3 linked regions of the Oryzias latipes genome follow. The protein of the gene in region 2 binds, or shares a complex with, the protein of the main gene of each other region. Links are inferred from orthologs where the notes say so. Each region holds a gene or a part of one and is shown on either strand. Other genes may lie near its edges. The genes, in order: DPY30 domain-containing protein 1, lrrc23 and ropporin-1-like protein.

Region 1 (4,824 bases), on a different chromosome or scaffold from region 2:
ACACACGTTCCATAAAAGAGAAGGTTAAAATAAAGACAGTTGGACCACACTCCAGCACCGCATGAGGGAGGCTGCCTCCAGGATCGCCTCGGCCCCACTGCACCGGTGGGTAGCCACGACGACCACCACCAAGGGAGATCTCTAATCCAAACCCTCACCAGGAGTACCTGCTCAGGGCCCAAATTCACACAAACACACCACAACCCAAACAGTGATTAAAAGAAAATACAAAACAGAAGAGGTGCAACTGAGCAGGACACCACTAATTTGTAGGCCGGAAATGGGGGGGGGGGGGAAATCCCCCTTACACAATACTACACATGGCACCCACCAGCTACCGTAAGGATAAAGGGAGGAGGCAGCCACCTCCAGCCAGGTCCAACCACCAAGAGACTAAAATGAGCAAACAGTTTAAAAAAATGGATAAGAGCAAGGGTGTCAAGCTTGATTTAAACATTAAAAACACTAAGCAAAACAGCAGTGGCAACTCTGCTGGAAAAAGAAAAATAAGTTAGTTCTCCCTGGGACAAATACATGTTTACAAACCCTTATGTTACCGCTCATGCCCCAGGGTCAGAACTCATGCCACCACCTGTTAATATAAATAGAATTTAAAATGTTGCAAACTCAAATGCTTAAAAAACTTTTGTAAAAGGACTCAAATGATTAAGCTTTAGCTTAAAAAAAAAAAAAAAAAAAAAAAAAAAAAAAAAAAAGCCCACATGTCAAGCTCACCCACCAAGGCCAAACCAGCATCTAGGTGGAACTCACAGCTGCTATTTATCAGCCTCATGAGCCAATCACAGCTCAACAGACAGGTGCTGGCCATGAATATTAACCTATGGAACACCACGAGGGACAAACTACCACCCACAGCCCTGTCTGTCATATAACGATAAAACAGGGATAAAGAGGGAGTTTCCAACTGAGGTCTGTTTCTAACAGTTTGTTTAAAACAAGGTTTTTTTTTATAATGAGACTGCCACTCTGTAAATAACAGAACCAAAAAAAAATCCAAACAATTGCAAAAATCCCAGTGCAAGAAATTGTAATGTAATATGGAGGGGAAAAAGATGAAAAATATATATAAGACATTCTAGACATGTATCTTTCTCAGTTATTATAAGTGGCAATTTCTCCCATTTTTCTACTTAAACATATTACCAAATGGCCCACTTTTTAAGGACAGAACAGTTTATCATAACAGTAGATAAAGCCATTGACTGTACAATAGGACATTATGTTTTAATATATCTATTATGCAGTCAGTAAGACTAACAGGGTCTGCGCCACCTAGTGGTAAAAATTTCGTAAAAATGCACAAATCACATTTTTCTTTGAGTGTGAATATAGAATCTTCCAACAATTTTATTTCTGCTTTTATTAAATAACTATGTAGTAGCATCTGCACCATTTAGATTAAGATAACTATTAGTTTTATGAATTCCTTTTTTAACATAGTCTTTTGAATTATTCCTCCCCCAATTTCTGACATTCTGTGACTGATGTCTCTTTCTGCTTCATAACACATTGAAGCAAAACTTGTAAAGATGCAAAAGAATTTTAATATTGTTTTATTGAGTTTAACTACTGGAAAGCAATTTAAAACACATCTCAAAATGATCACTTTCTCGTCAAAATATTTAATCTGTTTCACAAATACTATTTTGTGCGTCTGTGTATGGGTGTGTGTATGAATGACAATGAGGTTTTTTCACAAATATTTCTTTTTGTCTGTAGTTTTTTTTGGGGGTGTTATTAATATAATTGAGGATTATTATTATTATTATTATTATTATTATTATTATTATTATTATTATTATTATAAAAATCATCATCACCATCATCATATTTATAGTAGTAATAACAATGCCTGAAACAACCAATGGTTGCATTATAGAAATGACATCGAATACAAAGCGGAACTAAAAAACGGTTGGGAGACTTTAAACTGTGTGGGACCGTTACCACGGAGATGCAACCGTCCGCATAAAACAGTAAAATACGGTAATTTCCGTGTTAATTTTGGCTAATTTGTGCAGGTTTTATCCATAAAATCGCTTTCAGGTCATTTTTGTTCGTCATTATTGCCTTAATAGCTCCGAGCCTCCATATTTGCTCTGTAGATAAACAATCAGAAAACGTGTAGCATGATGGATTCGGAGTATCTTAATAAACATCTGGGGAAATGTTTGGCTGAAGGACTTGCTGAAGTGGTTGAACGGAAACCCGTGGACCCTATCCTTTATTTGGCCCACTGGCTGTACAAGTATAACTCAAATACGCTGTACGAGAAGAAGGTGAGTCGTTTTGTTGTTTTCACCAGCAGGGGGCACTAAAGGATGCAAACACAAAAGTTGTTGATTTACAGTGTTTTTAAGCATTACGTGGTTTACTTTTCCGTGTTTTCCATTTACAAAACGCTATAAAAACATAAAGTGATTGCATATATCATAATTTTTTTGAAACGTTGTCTTGCAAATGCAGTGCTGAATTAGAAACTATTAGAAAAGTGTGTAAACACACCAACCATAGTGTCATTTTTTTTTTAAAATGATGGATCTAGATTTTGCACTCCAGCTGCTTCTGATTATACCCATGTTGTTGCATGCCGTCAAACAGGTTTTAAGAGGATAACAGTGTTAGAGCACGTAAACTCATTATGCTGCAGGATGTAAAATAAGTAGGGCCTCAACAACAAAGACTCACCTTTTACCTTTAACACAGAAACTGTCTGTACCTCTACTGACACACAGCTGAGCCCTACTTAAAACAAAATGAAAGTTTAAACATTTTATGGTTTATATAAGATGTATACTTGTAAACTTTAGACTTGTAAGCTTAGATTTGTTCCTGTATCACCTTTGTATTTGCAGAAGAAGGCAAGTCTGGCTCTGCTGGATCAAGATCAGGAAAAAAGCAGCCAAGAAGCATCACATCAGGAAAATCTCACAGAAGAGGAGCAGATCAGTAATGCATCAAAAGGCACAGAGAAAGTACTTTCTCACTTTCTATTGCTAACTTAAAAGTATTTGATTTTAAACATCCTGAATGCATAGCTGACATTTTTAAAGACCTACTCTAACCATCTTTTGATCTATTTTCACAGAATTCCCAGTGGTCTTGTAATTCAAATTCAACTTTACTTGTGCACCACTTTTTCGACTACAAAGCCTCTCAAAGTGCTTTCCATAATAAAATAGATAATTGTAAGATAAAAAACAGTAGTTAAAATAGCAAACATAGTAAAAATAATAATGATAAAATAAAATTAACAACATTAAAACACATACAGACCCAAAACATACACATCCCACAGGTACAATCAAAATGAAGCGCATCAATTGCTGATAAAATTTATAAAATCTAATGAAAACATGTTGACAAGTAAAAACTACATAAAGGCTTTACTAAAAAAATGAGTTTTAATTTTTTTCTTAAAAACCTCCACAGTGGATGAAGCCCTCACCTGCCTGAGGAGACGTTCCACATGGAAGGCCCACAGTACTGAAATCAGGCCTCGTCGTGGGTTTTTGTTCTGACTTTTGGGACCACCAGCACACCTCCACCTGTGGATCTAGGAGGGTCATAAACTAAAAGTAAATCTAATAAAAAAATGAGGGGCCAACTCCATTTAAACTTTTAAAAACAAATGAAAAGAACTTTAGAATCAATCCTAAAGCTGACTGGGACCCAGTGGAAAGATTTCAAAATATTTCTTTATTTTTTTTCTTTAGCACTGCAATAGCCTGGTTTGTTTAGTCACAGGAACAATTCAAGCTGGCCATCTCACCATTTGCAGGAAACGTTCCCAGCTAGGTTAATTCACAGCTTTGCTGGGCTCAGGTGAACGTCGCGTCTGCGACTATGATTGTGCCGTATCAATCAATTATGAAGATTTTAGTCAAAAATCTAAAATCTGTGGTTTTCCGGGACATAGTTTCTACAGAGCAGTAGTAGTTCATCAGAAATATGCCTCTGATTCGTGGGTGGTTTGACCCCTTCCCCCCTTACCGGTACCAGTATTTTGAAACCCTCTCCCGTTAGCTTACAGCCCCTCACACCCACCTAACATGACTGGTGCAACAGAAATGGTGAGCAATACCGGAGCTGTTCAGATGTACAGTTTTGAACCACATGCCAGCTTGGACGAAGAAAACGCCGACGTACCTGGATACATAACAAATATGATCTTTTTCAAACTGCATTTTTTTGTTTGCTCCCAATTAACAACAATTTGAAAAAAGAGGTACTTAAAAATACAATTTAGAGCTTAACTTTCTTTTCATATTATGTCCGCCATCATGACATCTTTTGAATATCAGGCCATTGTTTTTAACAACATGTTAAAAACACAGTTTTCATCAGAGTGGGTCTTTAAAGGCCTAAAACTTTAACCCCCCTCTGAGGAGCCACAGATTAGCTCAGACACTAGAGACAGACGCTGAGACAGACAGCACTATTCAATAGTTAAGCATCAGGAGGCAAATGGGCAGCGCATGAGGGAGGCTGCTGATAAAATCGACTCCAGATGAGTCACGCACACTGCAGAGACAGAATTAAGGAATCTACTCCAGCGTTACAGGCAGGATCTGCACATTGATTCTTAAAAAATGCTGTATAATACAAGTTTGAAATACATTGCAGTCTGCTTTAATAAAACAAATGCTTTTAATAGTTCTTATGTTGAGCTAAAAGTCCTAAAACTCTTCAAAAAATGTGTTTTTTAAATGTAATTTCTTTACTTTTTCTTAGACTGATGATGTGGAAACTGAGAAACTTGAAGATGTCATCCGGTCCTCGTCAGTGCTCCAGAGTGAAGAT
Region 2 (4,731 bases):
TACCCAGAGTTAGAGGCGCATGTTGCCTTAATGGAGTTGATCCGTAGCTTGTTAGCGACGTCTTTCAGCCCCTGCAGGGTCTTCTCGTCGGGCTTGTGATAGTTAGCCATGTTTATTTGGACTTGAAAGGGACGTTAATGAAAGTGAATTTAATGTGAGTTGTTTTAACTGCAGTGCGTCTCGGGTGTCGTGGGTTCAGTGCTACTCCACGCCGATGCTAGCTGCCCCAATGCGAGCCTGAGAGGAGGGGAGGGGACGACTGAAGGGGAGGGAGCAGAAAAAGGCAATCCTATTACGTCAAATCGCGCTTTATTTGAGAGGCTGTTACTTAACTCCTTAACTGTTCATCTTCAAAGACGTATTTAAAGTTTTATCGTTAAATTTCATGTTAGGAAATCTCAATAAATTCCACAGATAACAATAAGACCGGTGACAGATATACCATATGTACACAAATGCATCACGGTGCAGCGTGAAAATGTTATTGAAAACTGTCAAAACTGCAACAAATTAAACATATATATTATAATATAGCTGACATCCATTAAACAGTTAATTAGAACATGCAGGTTATGCATTAATAATGTTTCACATACGTTTTTTTTATGTTACTGTCCCTTTAAGGTCGCAGGTGGACGTCAGCCAACTAGGAAGTGCGGTCAGATTTTGCCCTCTCATTCTTACTCAGGGAAAAATGTATGACAATGCATGGATTATAAACCAGCCCCACCTTTAATCCTGCAACTACATGTTGTGTATGTGATTGTTCTTGTTAAGACAAAAAAAAAAAAAAAACACTTCACAAGGCAATTTTTTTATTGTAACAATTTGGAAAGAAAGCTTTTCTAAAATCAAACTTGATGTGCAATCACGATCATCATCTCTTGAAAGACCTGCTTTTTATGCCCAGCACTTCCTCTCACAAAGATCTTATGAAATCTTATGGCTCAGGTACTTCCTCTTCCTCGAGTTCCTGAAAAGATAGAAATGTCCTTTTTTTAAAAAAAAAAAAAAAAAAGGCCAGAATATGTGATCTGATCACACCACAAAAATATTAAGCATTTACTCTGATTCTCATCTGATTGTCACCCCTCTCCGCAGGTGTCACAGGCTCCTTGTCGAGTCTTTTCAGCTGCGGTAAAAGTGTCAACACATTGGGGCGATAGTCTGCTGTTGCCACCAGCGGGTTCTCAGAAAGAACCAATGCTTGCAGGCTTTTTGCCACAAGGCCAATGCTTTGCAAAGCTTTTTCCTCTGCAATTAAATTGCCTCTAAAAGATGGAAACAAACAGAAAATATGAACTCTTAGAATTTTTGTAGGTACCACAATGGGTCTCTCACCTTCTTACACATACCTGACATTTAGATACTGAAGACACTTCATGTTGGGACTGAGGCCTTCTAGAGTTTCTAATTTATTATCTCGAATATGAAGGATGGCGAGAGACTCTAACTTGTCTAGACCTTCAAGATGCTTGATCCCATTATCAGCCTATGAAAAAGGGGAAAAAAAGGTAATAGCAATTCTAATCAATATTTTGATATATTGTTGTAAGGAATAGTGGTACGGTATTGGAAGAGCATAATTTTAGTGATAAGAACTTTCACAGATATTAGTCATTTTAATAAAATAACAGCTTTTATGTACCAGATATAATCGTTGCAGATTTGGAAGGTTGAGGCCATCAGTGGTTTCCAAATGGTTTCCTCTCAGCTCCAGAGTAAGCAGATTTCCAAAGCAGCTAGTTTGAAAACAATGCAGCGACTGAATTTTGTTTCCTGAAAAAGAGGTCACTGTGTCACTTAAAATCTATACTAGGCTTTAAATGTTTAATATTTCCAAAAATGTGAGATAGAAAGTATTTTACATCGTAAATATAATTTTAAAATATATATATATATATATATAATTTTAAAAATTAGATTATTTTAAATTTTGGAATACAGATTAATCAATAACCTGTAAGATTGAGGCTCTCCAGGGCGGGCCCAACCAGGCCATCGGCATCATTTAACTGATTTGCTGCCATATTTAGCCTTTGCAGATAGATCAGCTCAGCAAACGGTTGTCCTCGGAAGCTCGCCACATCATTTTTGTCAACCTGCAGTTTGTCGATCATTAAGAATGTACAGACAACCCATTATAACTATTGGTGCTGTTTGAAGGACCATTTTAAAACCAGAGGCTCACCACTAAATCCTTTTACCTCTCAATCATAGAGGAAATTAGAAACAATTCAGCAATTAATGTCATTTCAAATGAATGAATCTGCCACAGAAATGATCAAGACAAATCTAAATAAAGTAGGCTACCTTCAGCCACAGGAGCTGCTTTAGGGAGGCCAGAGGAGAAAGATCAGTAAGGCTGTTGTTGGATAAATCCAATAAACGTATGTGAATGTAGCCGCTGATCGCAGCTAGATCATTTAATTTCCTGTGAAGTAGGTAGTAAAGAAAAATCCATTAGAAGCTGATTGGGTTAGTCAGTCCAGTTAAAATGTGTTTTGTCTGCTTACATGTTATTGAGGTTTAATTTAATAAAAGCATGTCCAAGTCTGTCTACTGTCCTGCACAATAATGAAAGTCCCTCTTTTATTATGTCTTTGGTCAATGTGTGTGCTTGAGCCTTTAAAAAAACAAAACAAAAAAGCTTTATTTTAATGAACAGAAGTTTTGAAATTCATTTCAGTAGCTGTCAATGCATTACTGTAGTTTACGAATGAACTTTTTTTTCCTCAGTTTCTGTAAAAATCAATGTGTGTTTTTTTTTTTTAACGGATTTTTGTGTACCTTATCGCCTTCTCCTTTCGCATTAGTTGTTTCCTCCTCATCTTCCAAGTCCGACAGTAGAATTTCTTCCTCCATAGCGGGATTGAACCGACTTTAAGCTAGCCAACAGGCTTCCAGCATTCGGTACGACGATAAGCAATAGTGCAGTTTTACGCGGAAATGAGTGGAAACACGAGCAATTCAAAGGCTCTATTTTCCGATAATATTTAACAAGGATTATGGTTAATTTGGGTATGGATGGTACGAGCTACACCGAACATACCAAATTCTAATAGCGTTACCATGGAAACTCCACAGCAACAACTAACCCCAACTTCGGGTAGGGCCAAACTTAATGACAAAAATTGTGAAATACTAGTAAACAAAAGTAGACGTTGGTCAAAATGTAACATTTTTTTTAATCTATTTTACACTTGCAGTATTTAATTTTTTGTAAGTGAAATTAAAAAGTTAGTTTAGCAACTGCGACTACCAAAAATATGAAATAAAAAAAGTATGTTCATATGTAACCAAAAAAAGAAAACATTGTTTGTAGAAAGCGACTTTTGCAGATACTCAACTTCTGCAAAAGAACGTTTTTTTTTCTGCACAACCAATTAAGTAAGTGATCATATTAAAAAAAAAAAAAAAAAAAAACAACAACACAGACACACAAAAGTGTTTCCGTAAAAACTTCTGAAATATACACAGTTTATGCTGGGACCCATCATTTATTAAATGACAGCATATTCTTAAAAAACAAATAAAACTATATGGTACAGTGACTGAAAATTCTCATTTCATGACATTTAGACCTGTGTAGAACTTTCCTTTTTCTGAAAGTAAGTGATTCTGAATTCACATGTTTAATTCACACAAACTGAAGCAAGAGGAAATCCTAAATCACACAAAAAACAAGCAAAAAGGTGCAATTTGTGCAATATCTTGACATGTACTGCTACAGGATCAGTCCAAAGAGGTGCTATGTTCTTCAGACTCTAGTATCGTCAGACCAAAATATATTTTTCTCTGTCTATGTAATGGGGAAGAGTGAAGTGTTTTGCAGGTGAGCTTGTCCTTTCTGGATCAGGAAATTTACATGTGAGAGGTCACTCTATTTCTGTATTATGCAGTAGAAGACTTCTTTTCACTCCTCCTTGCAACATTCGTGCTCCAAGACTAATGCCGGTGATGCCTTCACTATACAGACAAGGAAAGGATATAAAAAATTAGGCAACACACCTTAAAAAAGTTACATTATTTGTATTAAGTATTGAGCATCACTGACTTACAGAGGGTTAAACTTTCGCTTCCTAGAATCTGGAGGTTCAAGTCTCTGCAATGTCAAAACACAAGTAGAAACTGCATAAAACCACTCAATATTGAATGCATGTATTGTTGTACAATCCATGCACATGAACTGACCAACCTCTCTGCTTACAGCATCCAATTGTTTTTTTCTCTGCTCCAAATTTTGCTGTAAACAAAGATACAGACGCAGGACAAAATGTTCAAACGTGAAAATAAAGATTTTGGTCAATTTCTTTTTCTCATTTAGTACACGAAGACACGTGTAACAGACCAACGCTTTTTGTTGACTGTCTAAAATCTTTTGTTTCACATCTTTATTGGCATTAAAATGGAATAAACGTACCTTATGCAGTTCTGAGAGCTGCTGATGCCTTATGAGCGCCTCTTTGCTTGGAAACTGCCTCCTACATAGCAGACAGGCAAGTTTAACCCAGTCTGTCATTTTTCCCTCCTTATCTTCTTTATCTCCTTCTTCTTCGCTGTCAGTTTCTGCGCTGTAGGCTGGGACCAGGCCGTGCTGTTGAGGAGGCGATTGCTACACAAAGAGTCAAAATCAAGACTTTACGATGATGATGAAGTGCAAAGCAAATACATTGAATCTCTTAACTGTAAAAAACAAAATGACGTTATAAAAAGTATGATTAAACACTA
Region 3 (4,598 bases), on a different chromosome or scaffold from region 2:
TGGTGAGGGCAACAGAGGTGATGAGGAGGTGATGGGCAGGTTTGGTGTGAAGGAAAGGAATCTGGAGGGACAGATGGTGGTGGACTTTGCGAAGAGGATGGAAATGGCTGTAGTCAACACTTACTTCCAGAAGAGAGAGGAACATAGAGTGACATACAGAAGTGGAGGTAGGAGTACTCAGGTGGACTACATCCTATGTAGACGAGGTCATTTGAGAGAGGTTAACGACTGCAAAGTGGTGGTAGGAGAGAGTGTAGCCAGACAGCACCGCATGGTGGTGTGTAAAATGACTCTGGAGGTCAGGAAGAAGAAGAGAGGGAAAACAGAAAAGAAGACCAAGTGGTGGAAGCTACAGAATGAAGAAACTTGTGAGGAATTTAGGCAGAAGTTGAGACAGGTCCTGGGTGGTCAGGATGAGCTTCCAGATGACTGGGAAACTACAGCAGAAATTATCAGGGAAACAGGTAGGAAGGTGCTAGGTGTGTCATCTGGAAAGAGGAAAGACGGTAAAGAGACTTGGTGGTGGAATGAGGAAGTACAGGAATGCGTCCAGAGGAAGAGGTTGGCTAAAAGGAAGTGGGATGTAGAAAGGACTGAGGAAGGTAGACAGGAGTACAAGGAAGCGCAGCGTAGAGTGAAGAGAGAGGTGGCAAAGGCCAAACAGAAGGCTTACGATGAGCTATATGACAGGTTAGACACAAAGGAAGGAGAGAAGGACTTGTACAGGCTAGCCAGACAGAGAGACAGAGATGGGAAGGACGTGCAACAGATAAGGGTGATTAAGGACAGAGATGGAAAGGTGCTAACAACTCAGGAGAGTGTACAAAAAAGATGGAAGGAGTATTTTGAGGAGCTGATGAACGTGGAAAATGACAGGGAAAGAAGGGAGGAAGATGTGGTTGTTGTGGAGCAGGAAGTAGCAGAGATTGAAAAGGATGAGGTTAGGAAGGCTCTGAAAAGGATGAAGAGCGGAAAGGCCGTTGGTCCTGATGACGTACCTGTGGAGGTATGGAAGTGCCTAGGAGAGACAGCAGTGGGATTTCTAACAAGGTTGTTCAATAGGATTTTAGAGAGTGAGAAGATGCCTGAGGAATGGAGGAGAAGCGTTCTGGTTCCGATCTTTAAGAACAAGGGTGACACGCAGAACTGCAGCAACTATAGAGGAATAAAGTTGATGAGCCACACAATGAAGCTGTGGGAAAGAGTAGTGGAAGCCAGGCTTAGGAAGAAGGTGGAGATTTGTGAGCAGCAGTATGGTTTCATGCCCCGTAAGAGCACCACTGATGCCATTTTTGCTTTGAGAATGTTGATGGAAAAGTACAGAGAAGGTCAGAAGGAGCTGCATTGTGTGTTCGTAGATTTAGAGAAGGCGTATGACAGGGTGCCGAGGGAGGAGCTGTGGTACTGTATGAGGTCGTCTGGAGTGGCAGAGAAGTATGTCAGAGTAGTTCAGGACATGTATGAGAGAAGTATGACGGTGGTGAGATGTGCTGTAGGTCAGACAGAGGAGTTCAAGGTGGAGGTGGGACTACACCAAGGATCAGCTTTGAGTCCTTTTTTGTTTGCTATGCTGATGGACAGGCTGACAGACGAGGTAAGACAGGAATCTCCCTGGACAATGATGTTTGCGGATGACATTGTAATTTGCAGTTAGAGTAGAGAGCAGGTGGAGGAACAGCTAGAGAGGTGGAGGTTTGCTCTGGAAAGAAGAGGCATGAAGGTCAGTCGTAGTAAGACAGAATACATGTGTCTGAACGAGAGGGATCAAGGTAGAAGCGTTAGGTTACAGGGGGATGAGGTGAAGAAGGTGCAGGAGTTTAAGTATTTGGGGTCAACAGTTCAGTGTGATGGGGAGTGTGGAAAAGAGGTGAAGAGGCGAGTGCAGGCAGGTTGGAGCGGGTGGAGGAAAGTGTCAGGAGTGTTGTGTGACAGAAGAGTGTCAGCAAGACTCAAAGGAAAGGTGTACAAGACAGTGGTGAGACCAGCTCTGCTCTATGGGTTAGAGACGGTAGCAGTGAGACAGAGACAAGAGGCTGAGATGGAGGTAGCGGAGATGAAGATGTTGAGGTTCTCCTTAGGAGTGACCAGGTTAGACAGGATAAGGAACGAGTACATCAGAGGGACGGCTCATGTTGTCTGTGTTAGGGACAAAGTCAGAGAAGCCAGACTGAGATGGTTTGGACATGTTCAGAGGAGGGATAGTGGATATATTGGTAGAAGGATGTTGGAGATGGAGCTGCCTGGCAGGAGGGCGAGAGGACGGCCAAAGAGGAGATACATGGATGTCTTAACAGAGGACATGAAGTTGGCTAATGTTAGGGTAGAAGATGTCCATGATAGAGTGAGGTGGAAAAGGATGATTCGCTGTGGCGACCCCTGATGGGAAAAGCCGAAAGAGAAAGAAGAAGAAACTCACGCTGCACTCCAGGCAAGCAAGTCCATGGGCTGCGTTCGGATGGCTGCTTTGGCGAAATTTTTGAGGATATCTGGTAGTTCTGGTGGAATGTTGATCTGCTCGGCACAGTACAGTGTGTCTGGAAGGGGCATGGCTGAAATACGTGCACTGTAGTTTGTCGGCCAGCAAGTACTAAACAAAAATAAGAAATTAATTGTATTAGTAATTTTTAGTTAGTTTAGTAGTTTGGTATGAATAACCCATTTATTTCCCTTCCAAATAAAAACATTGCATTAAACAAACAATAATTGAAGTGTTAACAAAATGCAGAAATCCCTTACTGACTACGTCACGACATCTTTGCAACATTTAGCATGTGCGTGCATCACACATACGTTTAAATTAAGTGATAATTATTTATAGTGCTGAGAAAAACAATCATATTACGTTACCTGGAAAAATATGTAGACTGTAAATAGTAATAAGCAAAAAATGCCTTAAAATGTTCACCAAAAAATCGTAATTGCTGTCCTTCTGATTTACGCCACAATTCGTGTCCGTAAACTGACAGTTGTATATTACCGTCGCATGGCAACAGAATTCTTCTTCTGTCGCTGAGGTCAATGGAGCCGCATGTGCATATCGCCCCCTGCTGTTTTAGAAATGTTACTACAGAATGTCATTGACCCTTGTGCTATCCTAGGCACTTTACCATTGGGAGTTGGGTCATCTAGACCCACTAGACCAGGGGTCGGGAACCTTTTTGGCCAAGAGAGCCATAAACGCCACATATTTTGAAATGTAATTTCGAAAGAGCCATACAATAATGTAGTGTCCCTTTCCCACACTGAGGCACGGAGACTTAACCTCTTTTAAGGTTCTTTATTCGGGTTACTGCAGACCGCGACAAACGCCGAACAATTAATTCAGCAACTCCTGAATCTCTCCCGCCGAGACGAGACGAGAGCGCGTCTCCCAACTTTATATTCCCCTGCTCCCGCTGCAGCCCTCCCCTTTCCCTTATTCGGCCCATAGCTGAACCCCATTGGTCCAAACTACCTAACAACAGGCTGAGCGACAGAACTGAGAGCCAATCAGCTCTCTGCTTGATGCGGTCAATGAACTCCAGAACTTTTAACGCGGCCCAACAGCCATCCAACTCAGTCCGCGACAATATGTTTAAAACTAAAATACAAGTGAATGTGTGCATTTGATGTAATTTCAACCTTTTTAAAGTACAATAAGTCTGTGGATTCTTTTTAATAACATTGTTATGCTGTTTCTAATAAATGATGAGTATTTCTCGTGGTAGTTTTGCTGATGGTCTAGTCTGGTTTACGTGGTGAGTTTCTGCTTCATGCAGGCGTTGAGACTTTAAACGTGATCTTAGGTTGGTATGAATGTTTTGTAGATGTGAGACAGACTGCTCACATGCGGACCTGGAGCCAAACACACACTCACACGCTGCAGTGAGTGACAGGCAGTGGGTTTTACCTATTTACAATCCCTGCGCGATTCACCTGCTGCCTGTCCCCACAACACCTCAGCCCCACCCTCTGCTTTCTCCCTCACACATCCCGTCCCCGCAACTGCGCGCTCTTTCTCAGAGACGGGAGCGCGCAGTTTTAGGCACGGCAATTCACAGGTTTCCGGGTGGTACAAACTCTGTGAATTAATAGACAATTTTAAACTTATACTAGTGCTGGCGCAGGAGCCAGTTTAGCTCATGCTGGTTTGCGGCGCCTTCCATCCGTGAAACCCGAGTTCGACTCCGGGCTGCTCCCTGTTCCCTTCTCTACCTCTGCTGGTTCCAAGCCCAGTTTGAGAAGGTTGCGTCAGGAAGGGCATCCGGCGTAAAACATTGCCAAATTTACCATGACCCCTGATGGGAGAAGCCGAAAGTGGAAGAAGACTAGTGCTGGCGCAGATTTGTCTCTCTAAGCACCGCTACTACTGCGCGCCTCTGCCATCGCATCGCGCACGAGAAGGACTGGTCTAATGAAGAAAAAAAATTTGAATTAAAGATTTGTCTGCGAGCCACATGTGACCATCAAAAGAGCCATATATGGCTCGCGAGCCTTAGGTTCCCGACCCCTGCACTAGACAGTGCTCTGAACCTTTTTATCTTCAATGATTTGTGATCTTCACTGGTGGATTACATGAAATCTTTCCACCTTTATCATGGTAGGGAGAACACATCAAT

Evidence for each region.
Region 1: lrrc23 (region 2) and DPY30 domain-containing protein 1 share a complex: the UniProt entries of both Homo sapiens proteins name them as parts of the axonemal radial spoke complex. The link is inferred for Oryzias latipes from reciprocal best matches to the Homo sapiens genes LRRC23 and DYDC1.
Region 3: lrrc23 (region 2) and ropporin-1-like protein share a complex: the UniProt entries of both Homo sapiens proteins name them as parts of the axonemal radial spoke complex. The link is inferred for Oryzias latipes from reciprocal best matches to the Homo sapiens genes LRRC23 and ROPN1L.

Annotation. Positions count from the first base shown.
Region 1 is NC_019877.2:16,026,313-16,031,136, reverse strand, and holds the start of DPY30 domain-containing protein 1, read left to right. Parts: upstream 1-1,939; 5' UTR 1,940-2,007; exon of another isoform or gene 2,008-2,067; intron 2,068-2,126; 5' UTR 2,127-2,150; coding exon 2,151-2,300; intron 2,301-2,876; coding exon 2,877-2,996; intron 2,997-4,755; coding exon 4,756-4,824. UniProt on the Homo sapiens protein: Functions as part of axonemal radial spoke complexes that play an important part in the motility of sperm and cilia. Plays a crucial role during acrosome biogenesis.
Region 2 is NC_019865.2:13,825,979-13,830,709, reverse strand, and holds lrrc23 (leucine-rich repeat-containing protein 23), read right to left. Parts: upstream 3,131-4,731; 5' UTR 2,866-3,130; coding exon 2,791-2,865; intron 2,627-2,790; coding exon 2,517-2,626; intron 2,435-2,516; coding exon 2,314-2,434; intron 2,103-2,313; coding exon 1,961-2,102; intron 1,780-1,960; coding exon 1,649-1,779; intron 1,493-1,648; coding exon 1,356-1,492; intron 1,272-1,355; coding exon 1,067-1,271; intron 974-1,066; coding exon 941-973; 3' UTR 799-940; downstream 1-798. Other genes in the region: transketolase, read right to left, coding at 4-110; RNA-binding protein 10, read right to left, coding at 3,879-3,969, 4,062-4,105, 4,199-4,246, 4,424-4,615. UniProt on the Homo sapiens protein: Essential for sperm motility and male fertility. Plays an important role in the proper assembly of the third radial spoke (RS3) head and the bridge structure between RS2 and RS3 in the sperm flagella.
Region 3 is NC_019878.2:13,557,707-13,562,304, forward strand, and holds the start of ropporin-1-like protein, read right to left. Parts: upstream 3,001-4,598; 5' UTR 2,848-3,000; intron 2,588-2,847; 5' UTR 2,548-2,587; coding exon 2,417-2,547; intron 1-2,416. UniProt on the Homo sapiens protein: Functions as part of axonemal radial spoke complexes that play an important part in the motility of sperm and cilia. Important for male fertility.